Macaca mulatta: one gene and its partners. The protein of the gene in region 2 purifies or fractionates together with the protein of the main gene of each other region. This does not show direct contact. Links are inferred from orthologs where the notes say so. Each region holds a gene or a part of one and is shown on either strand. Other genes may lie near its edges. The genes, in order: LSM12, ATXN2 and PABPC4.

Region 1 (4,125 bases), on a different chromosome or scaffold from region 2:
TGTCACTATCTGCTGCTCCTCATTCCTGCCTTTTGCCTGGCTTTCTGGGGGAGAGGGCAAAAAGGAAGAAGAGGAAGTGTCTTGACTTCTAAGAATAATGGATGACTAAAGGGGAACTACCATTTATTAAAGACCTAGTACATGCCATGCACATATACACGTTATCGCATTTAAACCTCCTAACTATGAGGTAGGTATTATTATCTAACACAGTATAGCAGTAAATAGCACTGTCCTTGTAAATAGGTAGACTGTTTTTGCTAGTTGTGGAACCGTGGACAAGTTTAGTCTAAAACGTAGTTTCTGTAAAAGGAGGACATTGATACCTACCTCAAAGGGCTGTTAGATGCTCAAGAAGTGACAATACAAATGCCTATGAAGAAACAGGATCAGGTAATTTGCTTACTCAAGGTCAGGTGATTTAGTAATAGGTTGACCTGGGATTCTGGTTCCGGCTTATCTCACTCCACAGCCAATGTTCTTTCCACTATCACTCTCTAGTTACAATCATCTTTTTTTTTTTTTTTTGAGACGGAGTCTTGCTCTATTGCACAGGCTGGAGTGCAGTGGCACGATCTCGGCCCAGTGCAACCTCCGCCTCCCACGTTCGAGCGATCCTCCAGCCTCAGTCCTCCTAGTAGCTGGGATTACAGGCACGCGCCACCATACCCGGCTAATTTTTGTATTTTTAGTAGAGACAGGGTTTCACCATCTTGGCCAGGCTGATCTCGAACTCCCGACCTCAGGTGGTCCACCTGCCTCGGCCTCCCAAAGTGCTGGTATTACAGGCGTGAGCCACCGCTCCCGGCCGTTATAATCATCTTGTCCAAGTATTGTTAAGTCCTCTGAGGCTCTGATTCCTTATATGCAAAATGGGGTTAATATATTTTATAAAATTCATTCATTAAACTCTTGTGTGGAAGGTGTGCATATAATGGAGACTGCAGCTCTCTCCTCTTTCCCCCTTTCATTCCACGTAGGTCATTTATCCTTAACTTCTAAAATGGACTCTACAAGCATTTAACCGAGCGGACGCAGCTACACAAATATTTTTCAGATTCCCCTTTATTTCCTCTTCTTCCCTAGTCCACCTAGGCTCCCTAGCCACCCAGCGTCAGACCACGCCCCGGCGTGTGACGCAAGCACGCTCCGTGCGTCGCGTCGCGTCGCGGCGCTCACTAGGGGCCCGGCTTTCGCCCGCTGCTGCCGCCGCCGCCGCCGGCCGCGGCTGCACTCCCAAGATGGCGGCTCCTCCGGGCGAGTACTTCAGCGTTGGGAGCCAGGTGTCGTGCCGGACGTGCCAGGAGCAGCGGCTGCAGGGCGAGGTGGTAGCCTTCGACTACCAATCCAAAATGCTGGCTTTAAGTATCCTTCCCTGCGTGAAGCCCGAGTCCGGGCCGGCGTATAGGTGCGGTGGTCGGGGGGTGGGGGACGACGGCGGCGGCTGGGGCTCTCTCCGGGCCTAGGGGCGACCGGCTACCGCGGCGCCCGGGGCGCATGCGCATGGCCCTGAGTTCCCCTCCCCCTCCCGCGGGCCCTTCGGTCAGCTTTGGGGATCCTGTCTCCCCTTGCGGGAGCTGGGGCTTTACCGAGGATCAGTGGGTGGAGGAGGGCTTGACACGGGGATGGCTTTTCGGGAAGAACGTTATGAGAGGGGACACAGTGATTAGGAGAGGGGGTGGTGTTGGGAGGGGGCTGGTGGATTGGAGCCCGGATGGAAAGGAGGAGCGGGTGAAATATTATGGGGAGGGATGTTTAGGGTAAGGAACTGCTGGTAGGGCAAAGGTATAGAATTTAGGAGGGCATGTGCACTGATGGGATTTCGTCCAAGGAAGGGCGGTGGAATGGTGACCAAATTGGTCCTTGCCTGTTTTGGGGGAGAGTAAGTGCAGGGCAGAGTTTGTATCTGAACTGGGGATAGTGGCTTGTTTCGCTGATGCGTGTGTATGTGTGGTGGTGGGGGGGCTGTTCTGACTTTTAGGCTTCTCGGTCATTTGGAAATCGCTGTTTGGGGGATGTTTGCATTGGAAACCTGTTCCAGAGAGGGCTTGCCGGGGCTTATGTGGGTTGGGGATGTGTGAGTTACAGGTGAAAGAGTGAAGTTCTCATGCTGCCTTGATCAGTCCAGCACATGGAGTCCTTTTACGTAGTAGTAGCAGCCTCCCTTTTGAAAGCAGCAATGTTAAATTGATTGGAAAAGGTGGCCTGCTTCTTTGGGGTGGGAATGACTTCTGAATTACTCCAGGAAACTCAGTCTTGGAAACGAAACGCTTCTTGTTGGGATAAATGTGCCACAGCTTCCCCTTTTATGGGAGCTACAGGTGGGTTTATTGGAATCTTGAAGGAGTAATTTTTTATGGTATCTTTTTTTTTTTTTTAAAGATGGAGTCTCGCTCTGTTCCTAGGCTGGAGTGCGGTGACGTGATCTTGGCTCACTGCAGCCTCCGACTCCCTGGTTCAAGCGATTCTCCTGCCTCAGCCTCCGGAGTAGCTGGGATTATAGGCACGCGCCACCACGCCCAGCTAATTTTTGTATCTTTTTTTTTAACAGAGACGGAGTATCACCATGTTGGGCAGGATGGTTTCGAACTCCTGACCTCGTGATCTGCCCGCCTCGGCCTCCCAAAGTGCTGGAATTACAGGCCTGAGACACCGCCCGGCTTTGTTTTTTTTTTTTTGTTTGAGACGGAGTTTCACTCCTGTTGCCCAGGCTGGAGTGCAGTGGCTTGATTTGGGCTCACTGCAACTTCCGCCTCCCAGGTTCAAGCGATTCTCCTGCTTCAGACTCCCTAGTAGCTGGGATTACAGGCATGCATCACCACACCCGGCTGATTTTGTATTTTTTTTTTTTAGTAGAGACGGGGTTTCTCCATGTTAGTCAGGCTGGTCTCAGACTGCTGACCTCAGGTGATCTGCCTGCCTTGACCTCCCAGATTGCTGGGATTACAGACGTGAGCCACCGTGCCCGGCCATGGCATCTTTCAAAATGAAGTTTCCTACTGAGTCTGCTGCCTTTGAGTGGCAAGTATTTTAATTCATTTAACCACTGCTTGTAGATTTCTAGTTTAGGAAGATGTCCTTTGAAACTAATTATAGTAAGAGTAGTTGCTTTTTTTTTTTTTTTGAGACAGAGTCTTGCTCTGTTGCCCAGGCTGGAGTGGTGCAGTGGTGGGTGGTGCGATCTTGGCTCGCTGCAAACTCCGCCTCCCAGGTTCGTGCCATTCTCCTGCCCCAGCCTCCTGAGTAGCTGGGACTACAGGCACCCGCCACGACGCCCAGCTAATTTTTTGTATTTTTAGTAGAGACAGGGTTTCACTGTGTTAGTCTGGATGGTCTCGATGTCCTGACCTCGTGATCCGCCCGCCTCGGCCTGCCAAAGTACTGGTATTACAGGCGTGAGCCACTGTGCTAACAATTGTTGCTTTTTCAAAAAATGAGAGGTTACACCTGGAAGAAATAAGACCTTTTACATTAGTGGTTTGGTTGGAAGGGTCTTGAAACTAGGAAATACTCTTTTTTTTTTTTTTTTGGGGGGGGATGGAATCTCACTCTGTTACCTAGGCTGGAGTGCAGTGGCATGATCTCAGCTCACTGCAACCTCTGGCTCCTGTGTTCAAGTGATTCTCCTGCCTCAGGCTCCCGAGTAGCCAGGATTACAGGCATGTGCCACCACACCCGGCTAACTTTTTTTTAGTAATGACGGGATTTCGCCATGTTGGCCAGGCTGGTCTCGAACTCCTGACCTCATGTGATTCGCCTACCTCAGCCTCCCAAAGTGCTGGGATTACAGGCGTGAGCCATTGCGCCTGGCTGAATTACTCAATTTTTAGTTGACATACAGTAGGCTCTTAAATGTTTGGAGAATGAATGTGTGAATGAATGAATGGATTAACTGGCTGGATCACCTTGGGTGAATTTCCTTTCCAGTGTGTAGTTTTCTCCTTTGCAAAATGGGAAAGCTCACATCTGAAAGAGTAAAAAGAACACTGTGCAGATACAGAGTATTATAGGAAGAACAGAAAGGTCTAGCTCTTTTGTCTGACTCGTAGGTTTAAGACAAACGCATTAAATCTGTGTTATGCCTCCCCATAAAGCCAGTAGAGAGAAGGTGACAGAACTCCTTTG
Region 2 (3,644 bases):
AAAGTATTCACTAATGGCCATGTAAGAAAAAGAAAGAAGGTTGTTTTAGCATACTAAAACAAAATTCAGATGACAGGTATGGAAGAAGGACTACTAATTTTTCTTTTTAGGGGACTAAATAACCTCAAAGAAAGTAATAAACCTACCTGAGAGAAGGAACGTGGGTTGAACTCCTTTGCATTAGGATTCAATGTTGATTTCCTAACTTGCCTAAAAAAAAAAAAAAGGCCAGTGAAATCTACATGGACTTTATGTTGTTCTAAAATCTTCCATACCTGACAATTTAAAAAAAACTGCTAGGCCGGGCGCGGTGGCTCAAGCCTGTAATCCCAGCACTTTGGGAGGCCGAGACGGGCGGATCACAAGGTCAGGAGATTGAGGCCATCCTGGCTAACATGGTGAAACCCCGTCTCTACTAAAAATACAAAAAACTAGCCGAGCGTGGTGGTGGCGCCTGTAGTCCCAGCTACTCGGGAGGCTGAGGCAGGAGAATGGCGTGAACCCGGGAGCCAGAGCTTGCAGTGAGCCGAGATCGCACCACTGCACTCCAACCTGGGCGACAGGGCGAGACTCCGTCTCAAGAAAAAAAAAGAAACACTGCTAAACATAGATTTAAACTGTTCTCACTAGAAGATCACTAATCCTCTTTATTGAAACATACGCACTTATATTGCCAATTCCTTAATCCCTTAAAGAATATAGTCATAAAAGAACAATTTTTTAAAAATCTGAGTAATATACAACTGCTCCTCTCAAAGGCAATCAAAAAATACTTTATTTTCTCCTTCAGAGTCCCACTCTGTTGCTCAGGCTGGAGCGCAGCAGTGCAATCTTGGCTCACTGTAACCTCTGCCTCCCCAGTTCAAGCAATTCACCTACCTGAGTCTCCTGAGTAGCTGAGATTACAGGCGACTGCCACCACACCCAGCTAATTTTTTTTTTTTTTTTTTTTTTTTTCCCCAGTAGAGATGGGGTTTCACCATCTTGGCCAGGCTGACCTTAAGTGATCTGCCTGAGTCAGCCTCCCAAAGTGCTGGGATTACAGGCGTGAGCCACCACGCCTGGCCAATCAACAAACACTTGAGCTGAAAAGACAGTAGCTACTTATAAAATATCCTTAAAAGCACTTCTTAACATACCAGTATTCTTTTATTATTATTACTTTTTGAGACAGAGTCTCGCTCTGTCACCCAGGCTGGAGTGCAGTGGCATGATCTCGGCTCACTGCAGCCTCCACCTTCCGGGTTCAAGCAATTCTCCTGCCTCAGCCTCCTGAGTAGCTGGGATTATAGGCACCTACCACCATGACTGGCTAATTTTTGTATTTTTAGTAGAGACAGGGTTTCACCATGTTGGCCAGGCTGGTCTTCAACTCCTAACCTCAAGTAATCTACCTGCTTCGGCCTCCCAGAGTGCTGGGATTATAGGTGTGAGCCACCAGTCAACATACCAATATTCTAGCATGAAGTAATTTTTATGTGAGAAGATATTATCTACATAACATACCTGCAGAAAATCATGGCTCTAAAAAAAATTTGCCTCAAATCAAGAATAAGCAGTCCCCAATTTATCAATAAGCTACATTCCAAAACTTTAGCTTTAACTGGATTGTTTGGTACCCAGAACACCTAAGTCAATGGTAGTTAAGTTCTGAGGTTAGCCCCTGAAAGTCCATTTAACAAATATATGGAATGTGCAGAATTAAGTCTATTTTAACAAATCTAAACATTAACTAAAACACTGTTTCTGATGAAAAATATTTTGAATTCCAAGTAGAAGCATCGCATGCTTCTCTCCTTGACAGTGGCAGTTTTTCATCCTAGCAGCACAGTGAGGGTGACTAATGAGTGGAATCCAGTAAAGATAGGTCTCCTGAACTGATAATTTTTCAACTCCTGTTCATTTACAGAAAAACTTTTCTTAATTTATGCCTTGTTTTTCTAGCCCTGGGGTGCAAAAAAGGGGAAGAACAAGAGTAGCACAGGGTGCAATAACCTAATTTACTTAAGATGTCATTTGTTTGGACTAGCTGTTTGTAAACTAAGGGCAATGTATGAAGCAGTCTAAAAGTCCAGATGGATTCTTCACAGTTGGAAGGACCTAAATGCCTTTAAAAAAAAAAAAAAAAAATTAACTGAGTAACAGGATGGTCTAAGTTCCAGGTTTACTCACTCAGCTGCGTCTTTCTTCTCTTCCTTATCATCTTTCTCTTGTTTACATGCTGGACTGGAAGTCTGAACCCCTTGGGAAGTGACCTCAGGTCCCCTCTTGTGCTCCGTGTTACTAAGTATTGAAGGGGAAATGCTGGGGCTATTCGGCTTGCTGCTGCCACTGGTACAGTTGCTGCTGCTATTTTCAGTGAAAGAATCCTTAGCACTTGGTTCAATTTTGTCTTTGATCAAATCTCTTGATTTTTCTGCCTCTCTATTTTTGTTTAGTAGTTGATCCATAGATTCAGAAGTAGAACTTGGCTGTAACTAAATAAAGGAAACAATTATACTTAAATATCTTAAATAACTTTAGTAATCCATTTTTGCCATGAGCACAAGCAAAGTAATATTAACTATATGCATGAAATGTTTTGAATAAGGCTTTTTTCATACTTTAAGAGTAATGCTTTTACTATAAAGTAACAATAACAGAATACCTATATAGCACAACCACAGTTACCAAAGCACTCAAATGTCTTAGCCTCTAAAGTTCAATATTTACTGAATGCCTACCACATGTCAGAAATTGTGCTTGCTGGGTGAGAAAAATATGAAAAAATTTCTATCCTCCTATACTTGTCATCTAAATAAGATCAGACACTTCACAACAAAATGAGTAAATGCTAAGAGATTCTATAGAAAAAACAACCTATAAAAAAGAAAGGTTTCTTAATGGAAGTTTCAGCTAGTCTAAGGTGTGAAAGAAGTTTAGGAGAGGTGTTTGGGATGGAGAATAGTCTAAGTAAAAGGAGGAATATGTTTAAAAATCCAAAGAAAAGAGAGAAGATGGCTCTATCACATAAAAGAATAGCACCAATGGGGGCTGGGCGCAGTGGCTCATGCCTGTAATCCCAGCACTTTGGGAGGCTGAGGCAGGCAGATCACGAGGTCAGGAGATCGAGACCATCCTGGCTAACACGGTGAAACCCCGTCTCTACTAAAAATACAAAAATTAGCCGGGCATGGCGGCGGACGCCTGTAGTCCCAGCTATTCGGGAGGCTGAGGTAGGAGAATGGTGTGAGCATGGGAGGCAGAGCTTGCAGTGAGCCGAGATCACGCCACTGCACTCCAGACTGGGTGACAGAACGAGACTCCGTCTCGGAAAAAAAAAAAAAAAGTAAAAGGATAGCACCAATGACCCAGGCACAGTGGCTCATCACTGTAATTCCAGCACTTTGGGAGGCTGAGGCAAGCAGACTGCTTGAGCTCAGGAGTTCAAGACCAGCCTGAGCAACATAGTGATACCCTGTTCTCATTAAAAAATAATAATGATAATAAAATAAAATAAATAACAAAAATAAAGAAGTAAAGCAAAGCACCAATGGCTGGACCAAGGGTGGGACACACATGTACAAGTGAGTCAGAAAATGATAGACTTGCCAAAAGGAATATGACAATAAAGGAACTTAAAAGCTATGTTCAGGGCTGTGTGC
Region 3 (4,258 bases), on a different chromosome or scaffold from region 2:
TTCAGTCATTTACTTAAATTAGTGCTTTTGAAGGGGGATGTCTGTTTGCCTTTTGGCAATTTCTGTTTTTGGTTGTCACAGTGATGGCAAAGTTGGTTCCTGGCACTTATGGAAGAAGGGATGCTATATATCTTGCAATGTGTGTGGACAGTCCCATATAACATAGTCCCATAAAGTGATATGACCTTTTTTTTTTTTTTTTTTTTTTGAGGCGGAGTTTCACTCTTGTTGCCCAGGCTGGAGTGCAATGGCATTATCTCAGTTCACCGCAACCTCTGCCTCCACGGTTCAAGCGATTCTCCTGCCTCAGCCTCCTGAGCAGCTAGGATTACAGGGGTTTCTTCATGTTGGTCAGGCTAGTCTCAAACTCCCGACCTCAGGTGATCCACCTGCCTCGGCCTCCCAAAGTGCTAGGATTACAGGCTTGAGCCTGGCAAGTGATATGACTTTCAAATGACCTGCCAGACCCTGATGCAGATGAAAAGTCTTTTTATAATTATCCAAGCGTATAAGAAACTTTAAACATAGGAGTAGAAAGTATTTCTGGGCCCTTAAATACAAACTAAATGTCCGGGAATGCCACCAGCATGTCAATAGAAGGGATGCTTGTGTTTGGTTTCATTGAAGCTTTACCAAAATGTGCTCATCTTTTCAGAAAATCCCATCACCCATGGATACTGCTTGCATTTCCAGCTCTTGACGATTCTACCTCTAGGCCAACAGTATTCTGAAAACTTCACAAACATTTACCTATTGGACCACCTATTACTTTAACTTATTTTATGTCACCTTCATTTCACAATTAGGCTTACTATCTAATTTTTTTTTTTTTTTAGATGGAGCCTCGCTTTGTTGCCCAGGCTGGAGTGCCGTGGCTCAATCTCGGCTCACTGCAAGCTCCGCCTCCCGGGTTCAAGCGATTCTCCTCCCTCAGCCTCCTGAGTAGCTGAGATTACAGGCGCGTGCCACCACGCCCGGCTCATTTTTTGCATTTTTAGTAGAGACTGGGTTTCACCTTGTTAGCCAGGATGGTCTTGATCTCCTAACGTCATGATCCACCCACCTCGGCCTCACAAAGTGCTGGGGTTACAGGCGTGAGCCACTGCGCCCGGCCCCATACCATTTAATTTTAAACCTCATGCGTGTGTGCGAGTTAAATGGCTTCTAGGTTCCATTCCCGGGTGATGGGTAGGAGGGTCTTAAGATTCATTGGTTATAGAAAGGGGCCCTGGGGGTCTCCTGCAACCGCGAGCTTAGGCGGTCCTCCGCGCGCCAGGGGTCGCTGTGGCGCCGCGCGGCCGCGCCGGGTCGCTCTCGCGTGGCCGCCCCGCCTCGGGCCCCCGGGCCGAGTGGGCGGGCACGACTGCGCCCAGGTCGCGAGGCGCCCTTCGACCAGCAGCGCCCGGGGCGGGCGGGTATAAATGGAGCGGTGGCTCCCTCGGCCGCCTCTCTCCGCCCCGGGTCGCTGCCGCCTGCGCCGCTTTCGGGCTCCGCAGCCTGAGGAAAAAAAGAGAAAAAGATAAAAAAAAATCCGAAAACGCTTCAAAATCCTGAAAAAAAAAAAAAGGAAAAGAAAAAGCGAATCCTCCTCGGAGAACCCGCGGGGAAGTCACTTTCGCACGCTTCCGGCCTGCCCCGCGCCCGCCGCCGCCGCGCTTGGCGTCCGTCGGTCTCCGTCCATCGGTCCGGGGGTGAGCCGCCCGCCCGGCCCGTCGCGCCCTCCCCACTCTCGGGCCCGAGCCCCGCGCCGGCCCCGGCGCACCACGTGTCCGCGCTGCCCTTCGCCGCCCGCCCGGGGCTCGCCGAGTCGGCGCCCACAAAGATTTGGTTTCCCTCTGCCCCGGCGGTTGTAATCTTAAACCGCCGGAGCCCGAGGCCTATATTTATAGAGAAACGCGTGTCCCCGGGGCCGCCGTGGGTAGCGTCCGGTCGCCTCTTAAAGGATTTTTACCGTTCGGAAGGGGATTCCCCGTTTAATTTTTTTCCTACTTTGATTTTTTGAAATTTGGAGCTTCGCACCAGGACCGCGGAGAAGTGCAAAGTCGTGGGGAGGGCCGTATTGTGCGGAGAGCCTTTTGTCTGCGGTGCCGCGGCCGTGGGAGCCGGCCCCCGCCTCCCGTTTCCGTCCCATCTCCGAGCCCGCCGACTCCAGCTCGTCCTCGCCGCCCCGGTGCCACCTGTGAGCCGCGGCGCGGGCCCGGGCTCTGAGGGCGCCCCTTTTGTCCTGCGGCGGGCCCGATAAGAAGTCCTCCTGGCGGGGCTCGGGGTGGTGGGGGGCGGGGAGATGAACGCTGCGGCCAGCAGCTACCCCATGGCCTCCCTGTACGTGGGCGACCTGCACTCGGACGTCACCGAGGCCATGCTGTACGAAAAGTTCAGCCCCGCGGGGCCTGTGCTGTCCATCCGGGTCTGCCGCGATATGATCACCCGCCGCTCCCTGGGCTATGCCTACGTCAACTTCCAGCAGCCGGCCGACGGTGAGTAGAAGCTGTGCCCACACGTGCGTGGGAGCCCGGCGGACCCCGGGAGTCGTCTTCTGGCAGGGCCCTCCTGCCAAGGAGGGCAGCATCACGACAGCATGTTGCCACCGAAGCTTGGAGCAGGGTGCAGAGATTGAGAACGCAGACCTGGCATCAGATGACTCGAGTTTCAATCTTGTTTCTACCACTTGCTAACTGGGTGACCTTGGGCTACTTACTGGTGTTGCTGGTAGTAGGGTTGGAAACCAAGGAAACTGTAAAACAGGATTAGAGTGAAGCCACTGGCATTCCACTGTGTGTGGTCCTTGTCAGTGGGGCTGGGCTGTTACAGACCCTTGCTTGTGCCCTTCACAGGCTGGCCAAAAAGGAGGGACGTTTGAAACACAATTCCCGCAAAAGTTCTACATTGTAGAGTTCCTGCCCGCTCTGCCACCTTTACTAACCTTGACTACCTGATGTTGTGCTGATAAAGGATGGGTCAGGGCAGGCAGGAAGCAGGGGGAAGGTTTCTGTGCGTTAAACTAGCAGAGATTTAGGTTAGTGCCACAGGAGCTGCGTGTGCCAGGCCAGCTCCTTAGTCTGTGTGTTTGCCACTGGAGTGGAGAAGTGCTTTGCGCTGGACAAATGGTATCCAGGCTCTGTGCTGTAAAGAGTGTTGTGGAGGTAGTTTGGGGAAGCGTCACTTGAAAATCTGGTGGCATTTGTCACCTCAGCTGTAACAGTGGTTTGCACTCGTCAGAGCCCTTTTACTTCATTTAATCTGAAGAAAATGGGACTCCTGAGAAGGAAAAGGAATGCAAAAAGTTGGAAACCAAGTTGGGACTCCCAGCACAGTGCTCTGCCACCTCAGATTGTGGCCTTAGCATGGAGAGAGGTATGTTGCAGGCGTGGCAGGAGTGAGGCCAAAGGAAATCTGATCAGAGGCTGCACGTGACTCCAGATTAGAAGGGAACAACTGCAGAGATCATTACTGGGAGAAACAAGCCATGCTATGGCAAAGGATCTCCAGGTCGCTAGTTTTGAGGTCCCCACTTTGTTTTCTGTCTGAGGCCCAGAGTTACTACTTGCCCAGGTTGCAGCTGAGACCAGAGAATTGGACATGTTAAGAGGAACTAGGTATTGCTACCGTCAACCCAGTATGCTCCAAGCTGAGTTCTGTCTATGGCTATAGGAGCGCAAAGAAGGTAGCTGAGTGTGGTCTTTTTAAGGGATAATGTACCACATTAGCTGTTGTCTGCCTTCTTGACTTTTGAACAAAAGTCATGTCACTTAGAGATAGCAGAAGCCATTGGTCAGTGTGTCTGCCAACACATACTTCTGCAGGACTTCTCCCTGCTATAAATAAGTGCAGCCAGATTTGTCAGACTAAGCCGGCTTGCCTTGTGCAGTGCTGTCTGGAAATAGACGAGGAGCTGTGTTGAAATGGGCTCCTTTACTGCTAATTAATGAAATAGTTTGCGATCCCAGCTATCTATCTCTGATCGCCATCACAAGCAAACTCCTCCTTTCCTGGACTGTTCCTGACTTGGATCTGTCTTGTCATCTCCCCTTTTCCCAACTGCCCCCCATACAGATGAGCCCACCTTCTGAAGGGGGTGGGGAAGTTTGTTGGAAATAATGAGTGAAAATAAATTCTCCTGGTTAAAGAAACAGTTGAGCTTGTGGAGCGTCAGAGTTGGGGAATTTTGTCCCCCCCCTTAAGTGAGATGTTGCCTTGAGGCAAGGAGCAGATTCCACTGCTCTGACCCTGTCTAAATCCCCTCATGGAGGAGGTTCTG

Evidence for each region.
Region 1: the proteins of ATXN2 (region 2) and LSM12 purify together in Homo sapiens (affinity purification with mass spectrometry; 4 studies listed by BioGRID and IntAct, with this or other methods). This does not show direct contact. The link is inferred for Macaca mulatta from reciprocal best matches to the Homo sapiens genes ATXN2 and LSM12.
Region 3: the proteins of ATXN2 (region 2) and PABPC4 purify together in Homo sapiens (affinity purification with mass spectrometry; 4 studies listed by BioGRID and IntAct, with this or other methods). This does not show direct contact. The link is inferred for Macaca mulatta from reciprocal best matches to the Homo sapiens genes ATXN2 and PABPC4.

The regions. Positions count from the first base shown.
Region 1 is NC_133421.1:68,427,540-68,431,664, reverse strand, and holds the start of LSM12 (protein LSM12), read left to right. Parts: upstream 1-1,229; 5' UTR 1,230-1,241; coding exon 1,242-1,365; intron 1,366-4,125. UniProt on the Homo sapiens protein: Nicotinic acid adenine dinucleotide phosphate (NAADP) binding protein. Confers NAADP sensitivity to the two pore channel complex (TPCs) by acting as TPC accessory protein necessary for NAADP-evoked Ca(2+) release.
Region 2 is NC_133416.1:118,688,475-118,692,118, forward strand, and holds part of ATXN2 (ataxin-2), read right to left. Parts: intron 2,478-3,644; coding exon 2,173-2,477; intron 211-2,172; coding exon 147-210; intron 1-146. UniProt on the Homo sapiens protein: Involved in EGFR trafficking, acting as negative regulator of endocytic EGFR internalization at the plasma membrane.
Region 3 is NC_133406.1:201,215,802-201,220,059, forward strand, and holds the start of PABPC4 (polyadenylate-binding protein 4), read left to right. Parts: upstream 1-1,446; 5' UTR 1,447-2,284; coding exon 2,285-2,477; intron 2,478-4,258.